3 linked regions of the Canis lupus familiaris genome follow. The protein of the gene in region 1 interacts with the protein of each later gene in a pairwise test. Links are inferred from orthologs where the notes say so. Each region holds a gene or a part of one and is shown in the gene's direction. Other genes may lie near its edges.

The links.
Region 2: the proteins of CEP126 (region 1) and HMOX2 interact in a two-hybrid assay, tested with the Homo sapiens proteins (2 studies listed by BioGRID and IntAct). The link is inferred for Canis lupus familiaris from reciprocal best matches to the Homo sapiens genes CEP126 and HMOX2.
Region 3: the proteins of CEP126 (region 1) and YAE1 interact in a two-hybrid assay, tested with the Homo sapiens proteins (2 studies listed by BioGRID and IntAct). The link is inferred for Canis lupus familiaris from reciprocal best matches to the Homo sapiens genes CEP126 and YAE1.

Annotation. Positions count from the first base shown.
Region 1 is NC_049226.1:29,797,617-29,804,205, reverse strand, and holds the start of CEP126 (centrosomal protein of 126 kDa), read left to right. Parts: upstream 1-2,590; 5' UTR 2,591-2,630; coding exon 2,631-2,785; exon of another isoform or gene 2,786-3,159; intron 3,160-5,664; coding exon 5,665-5,784; exon of another isoform or gene 5,785-5,788; intron 5,789-6,589. UniProt on the Homo sapiens protein: Participates in cytokinesis. Necessary for microtubules and mitotic spindle organization. Involved in primary cilium formation.
Region 2 is NC_049227.1:37,201,058-37,207,646, reverse strand, and holds the start of HMOX2 (heme oxygenase 2), read left to right. Parts: upstream 1-2,014; 5' UTR 2,015-2,134; intron 2,135-6,589.
Region 3 is NC_049239.1:10,247,038-10,253,626, reverse strand, and holds the start of YAE1 (protein YAE1 homolog), read left to right. Parts: upstream 1-2,238; 5' UTR 2,239-2,295; coding exon 2,296-2,424; exon of another isoform or gene 2,425-2,592; intron 2,593-4,242; coding exon 4,243-4,364; intron 4,365-6,142; coding exon 6,143-6,572; 3' UTR 6,573-6,589. UniProt on the Homo sapiens protein: The complex LTO1:YAE1 functions as a target specific adapter that probably recruits apo-ABCE1 to the cytosolic iron-sulfur protein assembly (CIA) complex machinery. May be required for biogenesis of the large ribosomal subunit and initiation of translation.

The DNA of each region.
Region 1 (6,589 bases):
CTCAGTCACTTGAATGTCTGGCTTCAGCTCATGTTGTGATCTCAGGGTCCTGATATCAAGTCCGGAAATGGGGCTCCTTGCTCAGTGAGGAGTCTGCTTTCCCCTCTCCCTCTACTACTCCCCTCATTTGTGCTTTCTGTCTCTTACTCTCTCAAATTAAAAAAAAAAAAAAAATCTTCTGAATAGCCCCAGGGAAACAGAACTGTGATGATAGCAATGGGAATAGAATCAAGGTCAATGTCGTGGCTAGGCCAGTTTAAAACTTGCCAAGATAGCCAATGGTCTATGGATACACCTTTGGCCTTTCCCTGCTAAAAGTTATATATTCTATTGTCTTGGCTTTGTCCTGAAGGAAGCTCACGTGTTTTGTGTGTTAAATCAAAACTGGAGGGATCCCTGGGTGGCGCAGCGGTATGGCGCCTGCCTTTGGCCCAGGGTGCGATCCTGGAGACCCGGGATCGAATCCCACGTTGGGCTCCCGGTGCTCTGCCTGTGTCTCTGCCCCTCTCTCTCTCTCTGTGACTATCATAAATAAATAAATAAAAGCTGGATTTGTTGTGGCATTTTAAAATCTCAGTCACCAGATTACATTTCAATTTGAGTAACTGCATACAACTTTGCAAAAACCGTTTTAAGTAGTTTCAACTGGAAAAGTTTATTTGAAGTTTAAAAATGAACATACCTGATTCACAAAGGCAGAGCCATTTCAATGGTGGGTGGATGATTTTTATTTGGTTTGTACATTTTGCTTCCAATCTGAGAGTTCTTCCATTAAAAAACAAATAACAAACAAACCCTGGCTAACACAGTCGGAATTTATATGTTCTTTTATACTGAGTTCCAACAAACAGTTTCAGCCTCTTTTCTTGTTTTTTTTTTCTTTTTCTTAAATAATAAATTTATTTTTTATTGGTGTTCAATTTGCCAACATACAGAATAACACCCAGTGCTCATCCCGTCAAGTGCCCCCCTCAGTGCCCATCACCCAGTCACTCCCACCCCCTACCCACCTCCCCTTCCACCACCCCTAGTTCGTTTCCCAGAGTTAGGAGTCTTTATGTTCTGTCTCCCTTTCTGATATTTCCCACCCATTTCTTCTCCCTTCCCCTCTATTCCTTTCACTATTATTTATATTCCCCAAATGAATGAGACCATAAAATGTTTGTCCTTCTCCGATTGACTTATTTCACTCAGCATAATACCCTCTAGTTCCATCCACGTCGAAGCAAATGGTGGGTATTTGTCGTTTCTAATGGCTGAGGAAAATTCCATTGTATACATAGACCACATCTTCTTTATCCATTCATCTTTTGATGGACACCGAGGCTCCTTCCACAGTTTGGCTATTGTGGACATTGCTGCTAGAAACATCGGCGTGCAGGTGTCCCGGCGTTTCATTGCATTTCAGCCTCTTTTCTATATTTTCAGTTTGCAAAACCAAAATCTCTGCGGCCCAGAGATCCACTCCGCCCAGCACACCTTCCGGGAGGTCTCCACCTTAGATGTGGACTTCGTCCAGAAGGGACGCGAAAGGGACGCGAAAGGGACGCGAGACGGTATGCGTGCAGACCCGGCAGCCACAGGGCAGGGAGGACCCTGCAGAGCATCCCGCGCGGGGAAGATGCAGGGGACCCAGACCCGCCCCAGGAAGCTAGATGGACTTCCAGCTCCAGACCCACGAGCTCCAGTGCTCCATCGACCATCCAGACGACCCCCGCGGCCGTGCCCCCACTCCATCCCACCCATCCCCCCACCGCTCCGCACCCCCACCACTACAGCCTCAGCGTAAAGAAGACTCAGCCCCGCGCTGACAGAGGGACAAGCCCGCGCCTGCGCAGACTCGGTCGCGGGAGCCCGGGTCCCGCCCACGCTAGCCATTGGCTGTCCGGCGCGTAGCCCCGCCCCACCCGGCGCCCTGGTTTCTGTCGCCAAGGACGCGGCGTCCGTTGGTTGCCAAGATGGCGGCGGTGTCTGCGGGACCGCGGCTGCCCTCTCCGCCACTGCAGGGCAAGGTCGACGCCGCAGCCGTCACAGCCAGCGTCGCTGCCGCTCGGGAACCGGGGCTGCCGCGGCCAAGCCTTCCGCGCCCGTGACACGAAGCCCGAGAGACGGAGTGGACGGAGGCCCGAGGACGAGGCCGAGGCTGCCATGACGGAGGCGCCAGCGGCGGGCCGAGAGGCGGCGCGGAGCTGAAAGATGCTGGCTTGGAGGCCGGGCGCCCGGAGCTCGGCCGTGGAACGGGGACGGGGCCCCGAGACGTCGGACGCCGGCGACGGAGCGCTCCTCATCCCCCGCTTGGGCCGCGGGCGCCGCCGGCCTGCCGCCGACCTGTATCCTTCCGGGGATGCGGGCCGGGTAGGCGGTGTGGGCGCCGGCGGACGGCGGGCTGGCCGGGCGGTGGGCTCCCCCGCCTGTGCCCACACCACCCCCGCGCGCCGGGTGGGTGTCCGTGAGCGCCCGACTCTCCCCCGGGGCACCCCTCCCCGCCTTTCGCCCCCACCCCCCGACACCGTTCGGGTCCTTGTGCGCCCGTTTCCCCCGTCGGTGCCCCCCCCGGCCTCCCCCGGGGTCCTCCCCCGGGCTCCCCACCCTTTTCCCTGCTTCCCCCGCCCCGGGCCTCGCTGTTCCAGATGCTCTGGAACGTGGAACTACCGACCTCGTGCGGTGCGGGGGCTGCTCTGTTGCTCAGACAGCGTGGCCATGTTCTGTGCACTGCCTGGTTAATGGTGCTGCGCAGAGGGAAGAGCCCCACAAGTGACACCTCTTTGCGACCTTCGAGAATCGGGTTAGCAGGTTAAGCTAGCACACCCCCGGTTCATTCTCTGGTCTGCGGGTCACCCGGGGTGTGTCCGGTGGTCAGGGGGACAGCCTTCCTCAGAATTCAGGGCGGAGTTCTGTTTTCGGAATGGAAGGCGCTCGTACCCTTTCTGAGGACGATGGGGCGGTGACGGGTGGCGTCGGTGCTGGCGGACGACGGGACTGGTGGTGACGGGCTTGGACTCCGAGCTCACGGACCCTCAGAGTGCTGCCGCACATCCCCACCAGCGCGCTTGGACACCTGTCCTGAGATGCTGCGGTGGATCAGCAAGTAGGCAAAGGCTGTGACGTGCGCGCGCGCCCTGCTCGGGGTTCTGGGGTGCAGACCTGGCGACAGGGAGGAAGGCAGCTGTGCTCCGAGCCTCCTGCAGCTAGCCTGGTCTAGCTTTGCCCGTGCTGGTCCCCAAAACTCATGCTCTCAGAGATGTGTTCTGAAATAAACAGCACCGGTGTGTACGGATTTGATTTTGTTCCCTTGACGTTGTATTTTCATGCACACTGAAGTCCTATAGGACTATAGCACTGACCCTGATTTCGTCTGAATCAGAAAGTAATGAAGCAAGGTCAATGGCTCATGGACAGAGTGTATCTTTCTATCCTTTTCATTCATGAAATAGTCCTAGACTTAATTTTGTAAATTGATGTAGTTGGAACACTGAGTAAACATCAGAGAAAATATTTGTAAATAGAATTAATAGTACCTCAAAGGAACAAAACCAAACATACTTTTTTCTTTTGTAAAGATTTTATTTATTCATGAAAGACACAGAGAGGCAGAGACATAGGCAGAGGGAGAAGTAGGCTCACTGCGGGGAGCCCCATATGGGACTGGATCCCGGGATCACAACCTGAGCCAAAGGCAGATGCTCAACTGCTGAGCCACCCAGGCATCCCTAAATTTTTCTTTTTTAAAAAAAGGTGAAATGTCTCTCATGTTCCCTTCACACTGTGCCTCCTTTTTTCTCATATATATCTCTTTTCCCCTTTGATTTTATTTTAGCACTTATCTTGCCCTCTCTTCCCTGCCTGGTTTATATCCTATTCTCAATTACCTGCTCATGTTCTCTCACCAGCATCCTTGGTCCTTTGCACCCCTATTCCTCTGCTTCATCCAATAGCTACTAGAGTTCTACTTCTCTTGTCCTTCACTTAAGTAAGAAAAATGCTGTCAGAGAAAAATCACAAGACAATACAGACTGGCACCACACAGATTGAACAGTTTCCAGCTTCGCCTGAACAAGAACAGGGATGTCTGTTCCTCTTCATGTCTGTGTGAGGTCTTTACCAATTCCACCTGCTCTCAGTAGACTGTCTTACTACTTCATGAGACAGTAGACACCACGAAGGCTCTCAGCCCCTCTTCACAAGCAACACCCCCTGCCCCCAACACCATCCTTTTTTCCAGGTTCATTGATGGGATATCACTTTTATGGTAGAACATCCATCTATTCACCTGTGCCTTACTAACATAGCTTGTTTTCTCCTGTGTGCCTCTGGATTATAAATTACCCCATCTTAAAATCTACTTTCAACTTGTAATGGCATTCTTTTCCTCCAGCCTATAAACATACTCCGGTCTTGGCTCTCCTTAAAATAAACTAGACTAACAGTCAAACCCTATCAAAGGATGATTGTTAGTCAATGATCAACATGAGAACCCTCAACTTGATTCTAGTATCTCCTGTGTCCATATTCAGACCTCTAAAAAGAGTCTAAATTTACCATCTCTACCTTGAGTCACACTTGGTACTACATTCCAAAATTAAGCTAATAAAATATAAATGTGAAATTGTAAAAGAATAACAACATAAAATAGAATTTCATATTTTTCATGTATTTGAAGGTATAGCAAATTTACCTTTTGGAAGGAAAGACATTTTAAAGGAAAAGTATTTCAAAGATGACTCATTAAAACTTTAAGGAGAAATTGTTTATATCTTTTGTCCTGTATATGTACTGAGAATTTTCTCCAAGGAAATTGTTCAGCTAGATTTTATTAAGCAGCATGCCAGTCATTGGCGTTACAGAAAGGTGGAGAAGACATGTACTCATAGGATGTACTCATGAAGGTGTCAGGTCATCCAATGAGGGTTTTCTCTAGAAAACAGGGGAACTGCTTGAAGTGGGCCTGAACCACAGGGGAAGTTACCAAGCATGTGCTTAGAGATGATGCTCTGATATGTCATGGCTTGTTCTGTTATCAGTATGTAAGTATCTTCGTGCATCTGGGCATAGGATTTGTGCAGGGCAGGGTTGAGAATTGAAGTTGAAAAAACAGACCAATTTATAGTGCTTTATATACTAGGTCAGGAGATTTAGAATTTACCATGGATGTGACAGGGAACTTTAAGAGAAAAAGGAAAGAGAAATGCAATCAGATTTGCATTTAGCAGATTTGTAGAGGTTCATAGTGTTGAAAAAATATGCAGTCTCCTTATCTGAGCTCATGATGCTGAAAGTACAATTTTTATCCCAGGGAAAGTGAGATATGTGTTCAGTTCTAATACCAAGTCAGAATTTTTTTTGAAGATTTTATTTATTCATGAGACAACAGAACAAGAGAGGCAGAGACACAGGCAGAGGGAGAAGCAGGCTCCATGCACGGAGCCCGATGTGGACTCGATCCCTGGACTCCGGGATCACACACTGAGCCAAAGGCAGATGCTCAATCGCTGAGTCACCAGGCATCCCAAGTCAGAATACTACTACTAACTAACACTAATGTGTACACGTATTGTTTCCTAAAAATGACTGTATTCTTAGTATGAGGCTGTAATTATATTTATCAGCACTGACACTCATCCCCTGGAGCTATAAACCATGTCCTTAACTTTGTGCTATCATTAGAGATACGAAAATACATCTGGAGAAAAATTTAGAAGAAGAGCGTCAAATTTTACTGCAGCAACAAAAAATATGTCGAAATCGAGCACGTAAATATTTTGTGGAATCAAACCGGAGAAAAAAGTAAGTAATCGTATTTTCTTCAGAAGTGTAGAAATTCAAAGTCATTATAAATTAATTATAGTTTCTCTACTTTCGCATTTTATGAACCTAAGTCATGGCATTTGCTTTATCTGTAAAACACTGGTCAACATTTGTATGCCTTCATAAATTTTCTTATTGTTTTTCTGCCTAAAGCACAAAGGTGGTCGTGTACTCATTCCTGAGCGGGACCTTAGCAGTCCTTTCTTATCATAGGACTTCTTATCGTAGTGTCATAGGATGGCTGCAAAATGTGCTCCATTCTTTGTTGTCTATATCCTTTCACACTAAATCAAAAGATTACAAATTAGTACTTAGTCTCTAATGGAATGTAATTTCATTTTAATTTACTGTTCACTTCTATATAATTTTTCTATATATCATTTATCCAATCAAAAATGGGGGGAAATTTAAATAATGGTAGAAATATGATGCAAAGAATATTATAAATGACTTCCATTAAAAAAAAAACAGCTATCTAAACTGGAAGCCTAATAAAGTAAAAATATAAACCATCCAGTTACTGCATACCATTTTTCAAGGTTTCTTTGAATGATTAGATTTTGTTTTTTAGACGGATTGTTAATGTGTTGGCTACCTTGTCTGTATTTTGTCAATAGCAGCAAATCCCTAGAGTGTATGAACTACATCATTGGACGCGTGTTGCAAATCCCATTTGGAAAATACAAAATTGTTTACCTGTAACTTTTTTCTGACATCATATTTCTCCTTAGATTAACTCTTTCATTGTCTGGTGTAATGAAGTTACTTAATGAAGCTTGTTTCT
Region 2 (6,589 bases), on another chromosome or scaffold:
CAGAAGCTAAGACCTACATGATCTCATTTATTCAAAGTAATCTCTAAGCCCAACATGGGGCTCAAACTCAGGAAATGAAGCCAGGCACCCTCCACATTATCTCATTTGAAACCTCAAAGCAACCCCCTCATCAATCAGCGCCACTGGGTTTATTCAATTTTATGTGTATGTATTTGGGAGCAGGGGCAGTATGGTGTGTACTTCCAATAATTACTTTTTAAAGATCCATTCTTTTTAAAATTTGGTTTGGGGGCATCTGGGTGGCTCAGCGGTTGAGAGTCTTTCTTTGGCTCAGGTCTGGATACCAGGGTCGTGGGATCGAGTCCCGCATCAGGCTCCCCAGAAGGAGCTTGCTTCTCCCTCTGCCTATGTCTCTGCCTCTCTGTCTCTCATGAATAAATAAATTAAATCTTTAAAAATAAATAAAATTTGGTTTTGGTAACCAAGTCATGCCTAATGCATTTATGCATCTAAAAAAAATTTAATTGGTACAGATAAAGCACAAGTGACCCCCGACCTCCCTTTGACATTCTAGTGTATAAACCTTCCTGACATTGGATGCATTTAGATACCTAAATATAAATGTGTGGAAAGAACATTTTGTAGTTCAAAAAAAATAAAAGGGGACACCTGGGTGGCTCAGCAGTTGAGCATCTGCCTTTGGCTCTGGACGTGTTCCCGGAGTCCCGGGATTGAGTCCCACATCCGGCTTCCTGCATGGAGCCTGCTTCTGCCTCTGCCTGTGTCTCTGCCTCTCTCTCCGTCTCTCATGAATAAATGAAGTCTTTAAAAAAAGAAAAGAGATCATATTGAATATATTTCCCCAAATTTTTATCCTAAAAAATCTGTAGACATACGGAAAAGTTGAAAGAACTATATCAGGAACACCTACACATACACTTACCACCTAGCTTCTCCAATTCTTAACATTTTGCTTTATTTATCAGACATTTATTATCCATCAACTATCTTATCTCTTGATATGTTTCAAGTAAATTACAGACCGCCCTGCCCCTCACCCTGAAACACTTCACATACACATTAGAATTCAATTTTTTTTTAAAGATTTTATTTACTCAGAGTGAGTATTTATTCACTCAGAGTGAGAGAGAGAGAGAGTGCACATGAGCAGGGGCAGAGGGAGAGGGAGAAGCAAACTCCCCCCTGAGCAGGGAGCCCAATGTGGGGCTCCATTCCAGGACTCTGGGATCATGACCTGGGCCGAAGGCAGACGCTGAACTGACTGAGCCATCCAGGCACCCCTAGAGTTCAATATTTTTTAAGTCAAACTTACACACTGTCAAATGTATTTTTGCATTTTTCCAACATCCTGCTTTCTACATCCTACATCCTATCCTTCTGCTTAATAACATCCTCCCTAAGCTCATGTCTGCCCTTCCTTTTTTTAACGCAGGCACAACCCCGTTGCAGAGAGGTACCCCCATCAACGCCCACACCATATCCCCCTTTAATGGACGTTTAGGTGGTTTCAAGATGTTCACCCAGATGACGCGCGCATCCCCTCCCGTGTTGCCAACGACCTTCCTCGCTCTTGCCTCTTGGGGTTCTTGCACGCATTGCTCTCCGAGAGCTACCGAGGAAGGACATTGTTTGAACAAAGAGATAGGCCCCTTCTAAATTCGAACAGATCTCGCTAACGTGTCCCCAGGTCTCCGGGAAATCCCAGGAACAGCGCACATTCCGCACACCTTTGTCAGCACGGGACAGTACCGGTCATTCGCTCTGCAGCCCGCCGGACGGGTAAGGAAGGGACAGGCAGGCAAGGCGGCTGGAACCGAGAGGGCAGGTGCAGCCTGCACAGGCGGGGACACGGGGCGCGGAGAGCGCGGAGCCCGGAGGCGCCCTCATTAACACTCTCTCTCATTAGCGCGCGGGCTCGGGGGCACCCCGACTCCCCTAGCCACCCCGCGACCCCGCGACCCCGCGACCCCGCGGGAGACACGGCGGGGCCGCCGCAGGGGCGTGTCCTTCCACAGGACCCGCCCCCTCTGCGTGCGCACGTCGGGCCGCCCTCGCGCCGCCCGCAGGGCTGCGGCGGCCGCGGCGCTTCGCTGAGTCGCTGACGGACGCGCGGACGCGGTGACTGACGGCCGGCCGAGCGGACCCGAGGCCGGTGAGTGGTCTGCGCCCTCCCAGGCGCTCCTCCGGGCTCCGCGGCGCGTCCGGACGGCCCGGAGCTGAGCCGGGCGGGCGGCGGCGGGACGCTGCGACCCGGGCGCCGGCCTGAGGGAGAGCCGGCGGGCCGGGACGGGGGGCGGCCGGAAACGGGATGAGCGGGGAGGGCGCCGCGCTGAGACTCCCTGCTCGCTCCCGGCCGCCGGGGCGGGCGGGTGAGGCCCGAGCGGCCCGTCCGCCTTGGGCTCCGTTGGGCCCGGCCCCTCGCGGCGTCACGAGTGCGCTGGGCTGGGTGACCCCGGGGGCGTCGCGTGCCGACTCGGCGTGCCCGGCGGGGGCTGCGGCCTCCGACCCCCGCGAGGACCCCGGCCTGTCCCGGGCGCCCGGTGGTCCGAGCCCCGCGTGGTGGCGGCTGCGGGCTCCGCGCTTCCTCCTGACTCACCTCAGTAGGAAGGGCGTTTTGAGTCACTGTGGTGACTTCATGAGTGACCCGCCGCCGCCGGGAAGGAGGGACGGACGGTTGGTCCGGGCGGGGACTTCACCAGTCACTTCGTCTGCCCGCTGCCGTAGGTGTATTAATTGCCAGGGGTTGCCAGGACCGCCTTGTACAAGGCCTGCCTGTGTCGTGCTGTGAAGTGGATCCTGGCAGTTCGTGTTCATGGCCTTGAGCCCGACGAGACGGTGTGGGATTGGGAAAACAAACACAACAAACACACACCGTGTAGCGCTCTGCAGTTCGCTGCCAGCCCCCGCCAGAACCCGGCGGGGCTCAGTGTGTCTGCCTTCAGCTCCGGGCGTGACCCGGGGTCTCGGGATCGAGTCCCACGTCAGGCTCCCTGCATGGAGCCTGCTTGTGTGTCTGCTTGTGTCTCTGCCTCTCTCTCTCTCTCTCTCTCTCTGTGTCTCTCATGCATAAATAAATAAAATCTTTTTTAAAAAAATGGAATTAATGATGAGGCTTGGGTGAAATGACTTCACCTGCATCCCACAACTGGGAAGAGGCCACAGATGGTCTTTTTTTTTTTTAAGATTTTATTTATTTATTCATGAGAGACACAGAGAAAGAGAGAGAGAGAGGCAGAGACACAGGGAGAGGGAAAAGCAGGCCCCACGCAGGGAGTCCGATGTGGGACTCGATCCCAGGACTCCAGGATCACGCCCTCGGCCAAAGGCAGGTGCCAGACTGCTGAGCCACCCAGGGATCCCCAAGGCCACAGATGGCCTTGATCCTGGTCATCCGCCTGCAGATCTGTGATCTTTCCCAAACAATGTCGTAGAGATTGGAAATGGATTATGTCCTTTAAACTCTCTTCCCTGGGATCCCTACTCTAGAAATGACAATACCAAACGTGAAAATGAGTTACAGAAAGTATTCATTGCCTTTAGGTTACCCCTTATCGAGTGTTGAAATGCAAAATTGGACAGCTGGGGCCTTTGAGCTACCTTGATTTTTTTGTTTGTTTGTTTCCTTTTAATTTGTTTCTAAGATTTTATTAATTTATTCATTCATGGGAGACAGAGAGAGAGAGGTAGAGACACTGGCAGAGGGAGAAGCAGACACCCTGCAGGGAGCCCAATGTGGGACTCGATACCAGGACCCCAGAATCACGCCCTGGGCCAAAGGCAGGCACTAAACCACTGAGCCACCCAGGCTGCCCTGGTTTCCTTTTAATAGGTGATTCTCTTGATAAGACAGTTGAGCTCTGCATCAGTATTGCACCAAAACTATAATATCACTTCTTCAGGAGAGAGGTATTTTTGAAAAATTGGAATTGTGGGGTACCTGGGTGAGTCATTCGATTAAGTGTCTGCTTTTACTTCAGGTCATGATACCCGGATCCTGGGGATCCAGCCTCACTTCAGGCTTCCTGCTCAGTTGGGGCTCTGATTCTTTCTCGGCCCCTCCCCCTATTCATGCTCCGTGGCTCCCTCTCTCAAATAAAATCTTAAAAAAAAAAAAGAAAAGGAAAAAGAAAATTGGAATTGTGTATTTATTGTAAAGTTGAGAATTCAGCTTAACGCCGTGGAGACAAAAGAGATGAAAAATTTGAACTGTAAATTACCTCCTGGTATGTTATTGGCCATAATTAACTAAAAAGTTATAAATAAATATTTAGAGCAATCTTGTTTTCTTATAGTAATCAGTGAGAGAATTAAGAGCTCTGGATTACATCTTTTGTGTTCAACAGAGTGAGAGTTATGTGCTTTTTAACTAAATTATCTAATTCAGTTTGTGCAAAAACAGGATGAAATGTTGTCATTTCACTGTGTGTTGACATCACACTCCCAATTAGATGGGGTTACTAAGTAGTGTTTCCAAGGCCCCTCTAAATCCCGCACTCTCACCAGTGTTTTGGCTTACGTACTATATTTAAATTTTGTTGTTTGAATGATTTCTCAGGATATTTTTGCAGTACTGAGAAGCAGTACCATTACTGATTAATTTTGGGGAGGAAGAGAGGGACAGAGAGAAAACTATAAGGGAGGGGAATCTTGGAACAGTTACTGTAATGGCTTATACGAATGCCTTTTTTTTTTTTTTTTTTTTTTTTTTTTTTTTTATGATAGGCACACAGTGAGAGAGAGAGAGGCAGAGACACAGGCAGAGGGAGAAGCAGGCTCCATGCACCGGGAGCCCGATGTGGGATTCGATCCCGGGTCTCCAGGATCGCGCCCTGGGCCAAAGGCAGGTGCCAAACCGCTGCGCCACCCAGGGATCCCCCTTTTTTTTTTTTTTTTTTAATACTGGAAGAGATTTCACTCTGGGGACCACTCAGGTGCTCTGTAATGTTCAGTGTACGGTTTACTTCTCTACATTGATTCTCTTTATTTACCATAATATGTTATTTCCCATTGTATTACATATTTTTTAAAAATATTTTATTTATTTATTAATGAGAGACACAGAGAGGGAGAGAGGCAGAGATACAGGCAGAGGGAGAAGCAGGCTCCATGCAGGGAGCCGGACGTGGGACTCCATCCTGGGTCTCCAAGATCAGGCCCTGGGCTGAAGGTGGCGCCAAACTGCTGAGCAACCCCCCCCCCCCCCCCAGGCCTCCCTGTATTACACATTTTTTTTTTTTTAAGATTTTATTTATTTATTAGAGACAGAGAGATAGACAGGCAGAGGGAGAAGCAGGCTCCACGTAGGGAACCTGACGTGGGACTCGATCCCGCGTCTCCAGGATCACGCCCTGGGCCGAAGGCAGGTGCTAAACCGCTGAGCCACCCAGGGATCCCCTGTATTACACATTTTAAAGCCAACTAATGAAGACAGCGGAGCCCCTCAGAAATTTCATTTTTATTTTTAATTTTTTAAGAATTTTTTATTCATTAAAAAAAAAGATTCTTTTATTAATTTGAGAGAGCACAAGCAGTGGGAAAGGCAGAGGGAGAAGCAGAAGCAGACCCCCTGCTGGGGAGCCAGAAGCCTGACATGGGGCTCCATCCCAGTACCTGGAGATGATGACTTGAACCAGACACTCTACCATCTGAGCTACCAAGGCACCCCAGAAATTTCGTTTTTAATTTTTTTTTTAACTTAAAAGATTTTATTTGACAAAGGGCACTAGCACAAATAGGCAGAAGGAGAGGGAGAAGCAGGCCTTCTGCGGAGCAGAGATCCGATGTGGGGCTTGATCCCAGGACCCTAGGATCATGACCTGAGCCGAAGGCAGATGCCTAACTGAGCCACCCAGGCGCCCCTCATTTTTAAATTTCTAATAAATTTGACACAAAATACTAAAGTACAGCAGCTCATAACTGATGGCCTGATCTAGGAACATTGCATATATTTATGAATGTGCAGTTACACTTATACATATTGCAAGAAATCTTTTCTGAATGACCATTGTCTTTTAAGAGTAACATTGGTTGGGGACCCCTGGGTGGCACAGCGGTTTGGTGCCTGCCTTTGGCCCAGGGCACGATCCTGGAGACCTGGGATCGAATCCCACATCGGGCTCCCGGTGCATGGAGCCTGCTTCTCTCTCTGCGCCTCTCTCTCTCTCTCTCTCTCTCTGTGACTATCATAAATAAATAAAAATTTGAAAAAAAAAAAAAAAACAAAAAAAAAACAAAGAGTAACATTGGTTGGGGATCCCTGGGTGGCTCAGCGGTTTAGCGCCTGCATTTGACCCAGGGCCGATCCTCGGGTCCTGGGATCAAGTTCCGCATGGGGCTCCCAGCATGGAGCCTGCTTCTCCCTCTGCCTGTGTCTCTGCTTCTCTCTCTCTCTTTCTCATGAATAAATAAATAAATCTTAAGAAAGTAACATTGGTTATTGGAGCTCACTACAGATAATTTAAAGGTGTATAGCTATTGTGAAAGGAATCCATTTACAAACAGCCCATCAAAGAACCACATCTAAATTGCAATCATGGCAGACTGAAATAGAGCCAGGAATTCCTTTTGGGTTGTCATGTCAACACATCTGTATTCAGACCTCACAAGG
Region 3 (6,589 bases), on another chromosome or scaffold:
GTATGTGACTCCTAATCTCAGAGTTAGGAGTTTGAACCCCATTTTGGTGTAGAGCTTATTTAAAAAAACACGAAGTAAAAAATAATACACACACACACATTTGGGGCACCTGGCTGGCTCAGCTGATGGAGCACACAACTCGATCTCATAGTAGTCAGTTCAAGCCCCACATTGGGCATAAAGCTTACTAAAAACAAACAAAAAAGGATTATCTATCTTCTTGGTTTCTTCAAAGAACCAGCTTTAGGATTTATTTATGTAAGTTTGGAGATTTTCTACTGTATTAATTTCAATTGATATTTTTATTGCTTCTCTTAGTAGCATTTTTGTTGCTAATTAAGATATACAACATGTCTTTTTTTTTTTTTTATACATTTAATCCTATAGAATTGCCTCTGTACAACTTTCATCTGCTCCCATGTTTTCTGGTGGGAAGTGTTCAGATTTTAATTGCTTATTGTATGTCATTTTAATTTTTATTTCCTTTTTGATCCAATTGTTATTTCCACAGGTGGTTTTAGGGTGCCTGGGTGGCTCAGTTGGTTGGGCCTCTGCCTTTGGCTCAGGTCATGATCCCGGAGTCCAGGCTCAGGCTCCCTGCCAACTGGGAGTCTGCTCCTCCTCTGCCCCTCACCCTGCTGGTGCTCTCTCCGTGTCTCAAATAAAAAAAATCTTGAAAAAAAAAAAAAAAAAAAGGTGATTCTCACACCTGGCTATTATAAATTATTGGAATTTATTTATTGTTGGATCATGATCAGAGAATATGACTTATAAAACGTCCGGGTTTTTAAGTTAAGGTATTTTATGTGGCCAACTATGGAGTATTCTTATACATAATTCCATGGACCTACCAAGTAAAAAATATATATGCATTATATACATAATATATATTGTATTCTGTATAATGTATTCAATATTATACACAATATATATTCCATGTATAATATATAGTAACTACTATATATAGTATGCATATATATGCAACATACATAAAATTAAAATTTTGCATGTAAATGCAAAATTCTGAGCATTTAAAATGATCACCTAAACCACCCACTCCCCCTGACACACAGGCTCATGGTTCCCCTTACTTTGCTCACTTTTTTTTTTTTAAGATTTTTTTTATTTATTCATGAGAGACAGAGAGAGAGAGGCAGAGACAGGAGGAGGGAGAAGCAGGCTCCTTGCAGGGAGCCCGATGCGGGCTCGATCCCAGGACCCCAGGGTCACGCCCTGGGCGGAAGGCAGGTGCTCCACCGCTGAGCTCCCCGGGCTGCCCAGCTCACTTATTTCTCTGTCTCACAGCATGTATCCCTTATGATCTGGTAACAAACTACGTAATTCACCTATACCGTGCTTCTGGTTCCTCCTGCCCCTTCCACCGGAACGTAAACCGGAGGAGAGCTGCTAAGTCAGGTCTGTCCTTCCCTGACGTACCCCGAAAGCTGCAACGGTGCCTGGCGCCACAAAATGCATCAAATAAATAAATCATCACCACCCCATCACCACGCAAAAAGCTAAACGGCGGGCAGGCAGCCCGGGGGGCTCAGCGGTGGAGCACCTGCCTTGGCCCCAGGTCGTGACCCCGGTCTCGAGATCGAGTCCCGTGTCGGGCTCCCTGCATGGAGCCTGCTTCTCCCTCTACCTGTGTCTCTGCCTCTCACTCTCTGTGTGTGTCTAATGAATAAATAAACAAAATATTAAAAAAAAAAAAAAAAAAAAAGCTGAACGGCCCGAGCCCCGGTGTGGGTTCCGTCACCCGCACGCGTCCCAGCGCCCCCGCCCCGGGTGGGGACCAGGCGGCGCCGAGCCCCTGCAGGTGCACCAGGGCCGGCCTCCGCAGCCAGGCGGGCCAGCGGCGGGCCCCGAGACCCCGGGAGAAGCGCACTCCAGGGGCGCCCCGCATGGATGGAGCTCGGACTGGCCGCAGGAGCTACCTTTCGGGCCCTACAGTCCTGTGCCGCTGACGGCTAAGGCCCGTGGACGTCAAACCCCTAAGATGCGCTGCGGGGAGCTTCCCAGACACCGAGACCTCGGCCCGTCGTCGCGCATCCACTGAACCACCTCCAACGGCTCCACCCCGGCCGGAAGGCAAAGCGTGTCCCCGCACGTCCCGGCTGCCCTCCGAGGAGGTCCGGGTCCCGCAGCAGCGACTCCCGCCCCGCGGCCCGACCCGACGTCACGCACGCATGCGCGGCAGCCCCCCGCCCCGACGCGCAGCCTTCGCCCCGCCCCTCGGACCGGAAGACGTTGCGGGCGCTTCCGGCGCCCGGCCGCCCTGCGGTTGCCTCGGTGATGTCGTGGGTTCAGAGGGCCCCGCTGGTCCGGGGTCCCGGAGAGGAAGGGGACGTGTTTGACGAGGAGGCGGACGAGTCTCTCCTGGTGCAGCGGGAATGGCGGAGCCACATGCAGAGACGAGTCAAAGTAAGGCTGCGTGGCGGGCGCGGGGGACACACGGCGGCTTGTGGAGAGAGCGGAGCGCGGGCGCGAGGGTGGAGGCCGCGGGGCCCGCGAGGGCTTTCCAGGGGGTTACCGAGGGGTTACCCGAAAGCGCGCGAGACCTCGGGGCGCGCTGGACGCTGGGAGCAGACGCGAGCTAGGTGTAGACCTGGCGGGGGTCGCCGTGCCGGGAGGTTCGCGGAGGGCGTGGACGGGCTGCTCGAACGGGTCACGAGCCCAACGTCGGAAGTGGTTACTTTTTTTTTTTTTTTTTTTTTTTTTTTTTTTTATAGAGACACAGAGAGAGAGAAGCAGAGATACAAGCAGAGGGAGAAGCAGGCTCCACGCAGGGAGCCCGATGCGGGACTCGATCCCGGGACCCCGGGGTCACGCCCTGGACTGAAGGTGGCGCTAAACCGCTGAGCCCCCCGGGCTGCCCGGGAGTGGTTATTACTGGAGACACACGGGAAAGGTGAACCTACGAATGTCCAGAAGCAGGGATGCCCGGGGGGCTTAGCGGTGGAGCATCCGCCCTCAGCCCAGGGCGTGACCCCGGGGTCCCCGGATCGAGTCCCCCTGCATGGAGCCTGCTTCTCCCTCTGCCTGTGTCTCTGCCCCTCTCTCTCTATCATGAATAAATAAATAAAATCTTTAAAAAAAAATTAAGATCTTAAATAGTAATAATGATAAAAAGAAATGTCAAATAGGAATAAAGGAAAGCTGCTGTGGAGTACCGTGGGGCTAGGTGAAGGAATACCAAAGTTGGCTGCTTTTTTATTTGCTGGGTGTGCATTATCTTTCTCTGCTTTGTTCATTGAAACTAAGCTTAATGCCACGCCCTCAGTCTCCAGGTGGAGCAGTGGGAGCTGAGTTCACACGGCCAGGTCCACTTCCACCCAAGGTCTTTCCCAAGCAAAATACTGCCCGATTGGCCCTTGTTTGTTTCAGTGAAATGTTTGCTTAGCCCAACCACCACGTTACCAGTTTCAGAAACGCTTGATGTAAGGTGGGGGCCAGACCAGTGAGTCGCAACCGGCCTTGGAGTGCAGTGGCACCAGAGGAGATGGAGACGCAGGACAGTATCTCCGCCCACAGGGAATTTGCCGTTTATTTAAATTTAGATACCAGGCAAGATTTCTAAAACCGTACTTTGCATCTTTTTTTACTCACCCAGTTTCCTCTTTCCCTCCTTGAGCTGATTATTGAAGACCTCTGATAACCTCTTTTCTGCCCTACCTTCTCACCCAACGCTCATCAGTCAGTGTTGCCAAGGGGCCAGACATTAACTCTCTGTTTTCCTTCCTGTGAAGCCATTGTTAACACAGGGTTTTTAAAATCTGTATAAGAATCTATATTTTGGGGCAGCCTGGGTGGCCCAGTGGTTTAGCATCTGCCTTTGACCCAGGGCCTGATACTTGAGTCCCGGGATCAAGTCCCACATCGGGCTCCCTGCATGGAGCCTGCTTCTCCCTCTGCCTGTGTCTGTGCCTCTCTCTCTGTCTCTCTCCTCTGTCTCTCGTGAATAAATAGAATATATTTTTTTTAAAATCTGTATTTTTAAATGTGCCAAATAAGTCGACTCCTAAAGCGGGATATGCGAATAATAAACCTTGCTGGGAAGCATAATCTGCTCGGGTTGTGTGGCTGTGCCATAGGTTGTAGAACCATTATGTTAAATAGTAAACAGCAGTAAAGGCCTATTTCATCAACATTCTAAATCGGTTTTATGACTTTCCAGAAAAACCTACAGTGGTTTACTTGGTGTTAATTACAGCTGCAGTTTTCTTCATTACTTATTTTTAGGAAGGCTATAGAGATGGAATAGATGCTGGCAAAGCTGTTACTCTTCAACAAGGCTTCAATCAAGGTTATAAGGAAGGTGCAGAAATCATTATAAACTACGGACAACTCAGAGGAACACTGAGGTAATTTTTTAAACTTATATGCTGAGTCATTTTAACCTCAGTACTCCTGGAGGCCTTTTATAAAAGTAGTATGTAAAAATAAAGTATTTAAACTGAAGTGCTTTTCCTAGTGTTAAATCCACAAAAGAGTACTGTGACCATAAAATAATACTGCCTTCAGAAAGTCATCTACTTGAACCGTCAGTTCATCTACTTTAATATATGTCAGGTGTTGTCTCTTACTGCAAAGAAATGATAGGAACGTGTATATTTTGTGCTGCCTGAACTACCACCGATTTGTATCTCAAAAGTAATTCAAAAGATCTTCAGGTTTTAAATAAAGCTTTTAATCTTGGACATGTGGTAGAGCATAATAAAACAGACTTCTAGATTAGAAGTGCATGAGGAAAATTATATCTGGTCATAGAAAAATGATTCCATTTACTTTAGTGCTGAACACTGAATACCTGTCAAGATTCCATACTAATAATGGCACATATCAGAGCCAAGAGGTCAAATGGCAGAAGGAGCTAGGATAATGACATGCTTGTCATCTTGGAGACTTTGTACCTTTTAAATTAGGAAAAAAAATAAAAACATAAAATGGTTCGAAGAATCACTAATTTTTAAATTAGTTTTTAAAAAATTTTTAAAGTTATCAAAACAAAAAAGTTCATTGAGGTTTTAGAAAATTCAACTGTCAGAAATCAGAATTTATAGTCTACAGTAGGAAAATGATCAAGTATTCATTTTACATAAATCTTTTATAAGTACAGAAAGTTTATTGCTAAATCTTTTATGTCAACTGATTACATTTTTAAAACATGATTACTTTTCAGGGCACCTGGGTGGCTCGCTCAGTTAAGCATCCAGCTCTTGATTTCTGCTCAGGTCATGATCTCAGGGTCAGCACTGGGCACACAGCCTGCTTAAGGTTCTCTCTCTCCCTTGTTCTCTGCCCTTCCCTCCACCTCTCTCTCCCTGTCTTTAAAAAAAAACAAACAAACGCTATTACTTTTCACAACAATCATTTTATGTCGTGATTATCTGAACAATCTGAAATGGCAGAAAACAGAAGTCTTTTCTGTACTAGAAAAAAAATATTAGGATTAGAAGCATTCTTACCTTCTTCAAGAAATGTATTAGTTAGCTCAACAAACAGTGATTATAACAAAGTCAGGGAAAGAAAAGTTGCCTCAAAACTTTTTTTTCTACCCTTTAGTTTTGATGGCAAGTAACCATATGGTTTGAATAATTGTTTTCAACCTTGGCTGCACCCTGCTATCAGCTGGGAAGCTTTAAAAACTAATATCCCCAGAGATTCTGATTTCATTGGTCTGGGATATAATATAGGCCTTGATATGATATAGCCGCCCAGGTAATTCTAATGTACATCCACGTCTGAGAATCACTGGTCCAGAAACTGTGTGATATCCCTGAAGGAGGTACTGATTTCTGTGACCTCTTTCCCTGACTAGCATCCCTCTTCAGCAGAAGCTACACAGTCATAGAGAAAATCTAAAATCAAGAAAAGTGGATATGGAGTTGTGAAGGAGGCATTAGGAATTATAAGCAATTTTTGTGATTACTTCTAGCTGTTTAATTTCTATCAAAAGATAATGTCTTTATATACTTTAAAATCCATTATAGCATCATTATTTTCCTGATTTTGGCTTGCATTATTGTTAATTCATTTTTGCATGGTATTATCTGGAAACATGTAGGGTTTAGCATCAAAAATTGGAAAAGCCTATGATTAATTTTTTTCGTATTTAACTCTTGCTTATATTTTCATTCAGTGCTTTGCTCTCCTGGTGTCACCTTCATGATAATGGTTCGGCTCTGATCAGTAAAATAAATAATCTTCTGGATGCAGTTGGCCAGTGTGAAGAGTATGTGCTCAAACATCTAAAATCAATCACTTCTCAGCCCCATGTTGTAGATTTATTGGACTCTATTCAGGATATGGACCTTTGTCATGTAGCTCCAGCTGAGAAAAAGATGGATGAAGCTAAAGATGAAAGACTCTGTGAAAATAATGCTGAGCTTCACAAAAACTGTAGCAAGAGTCTTAGTGAGGCAGATTGTTCATCTTTAGAATGTTGTAGACTACAGAAGCATGCACATTCTGAAAACCCAAGCCTCGCTTGGATTTTAGAACAGACAGCCAGTTTAGTAAAACAGCTGGGAATATCACTTGACGTATTACAGCACCTCAAACAACTATAAAAATTTTCTTCACTTTT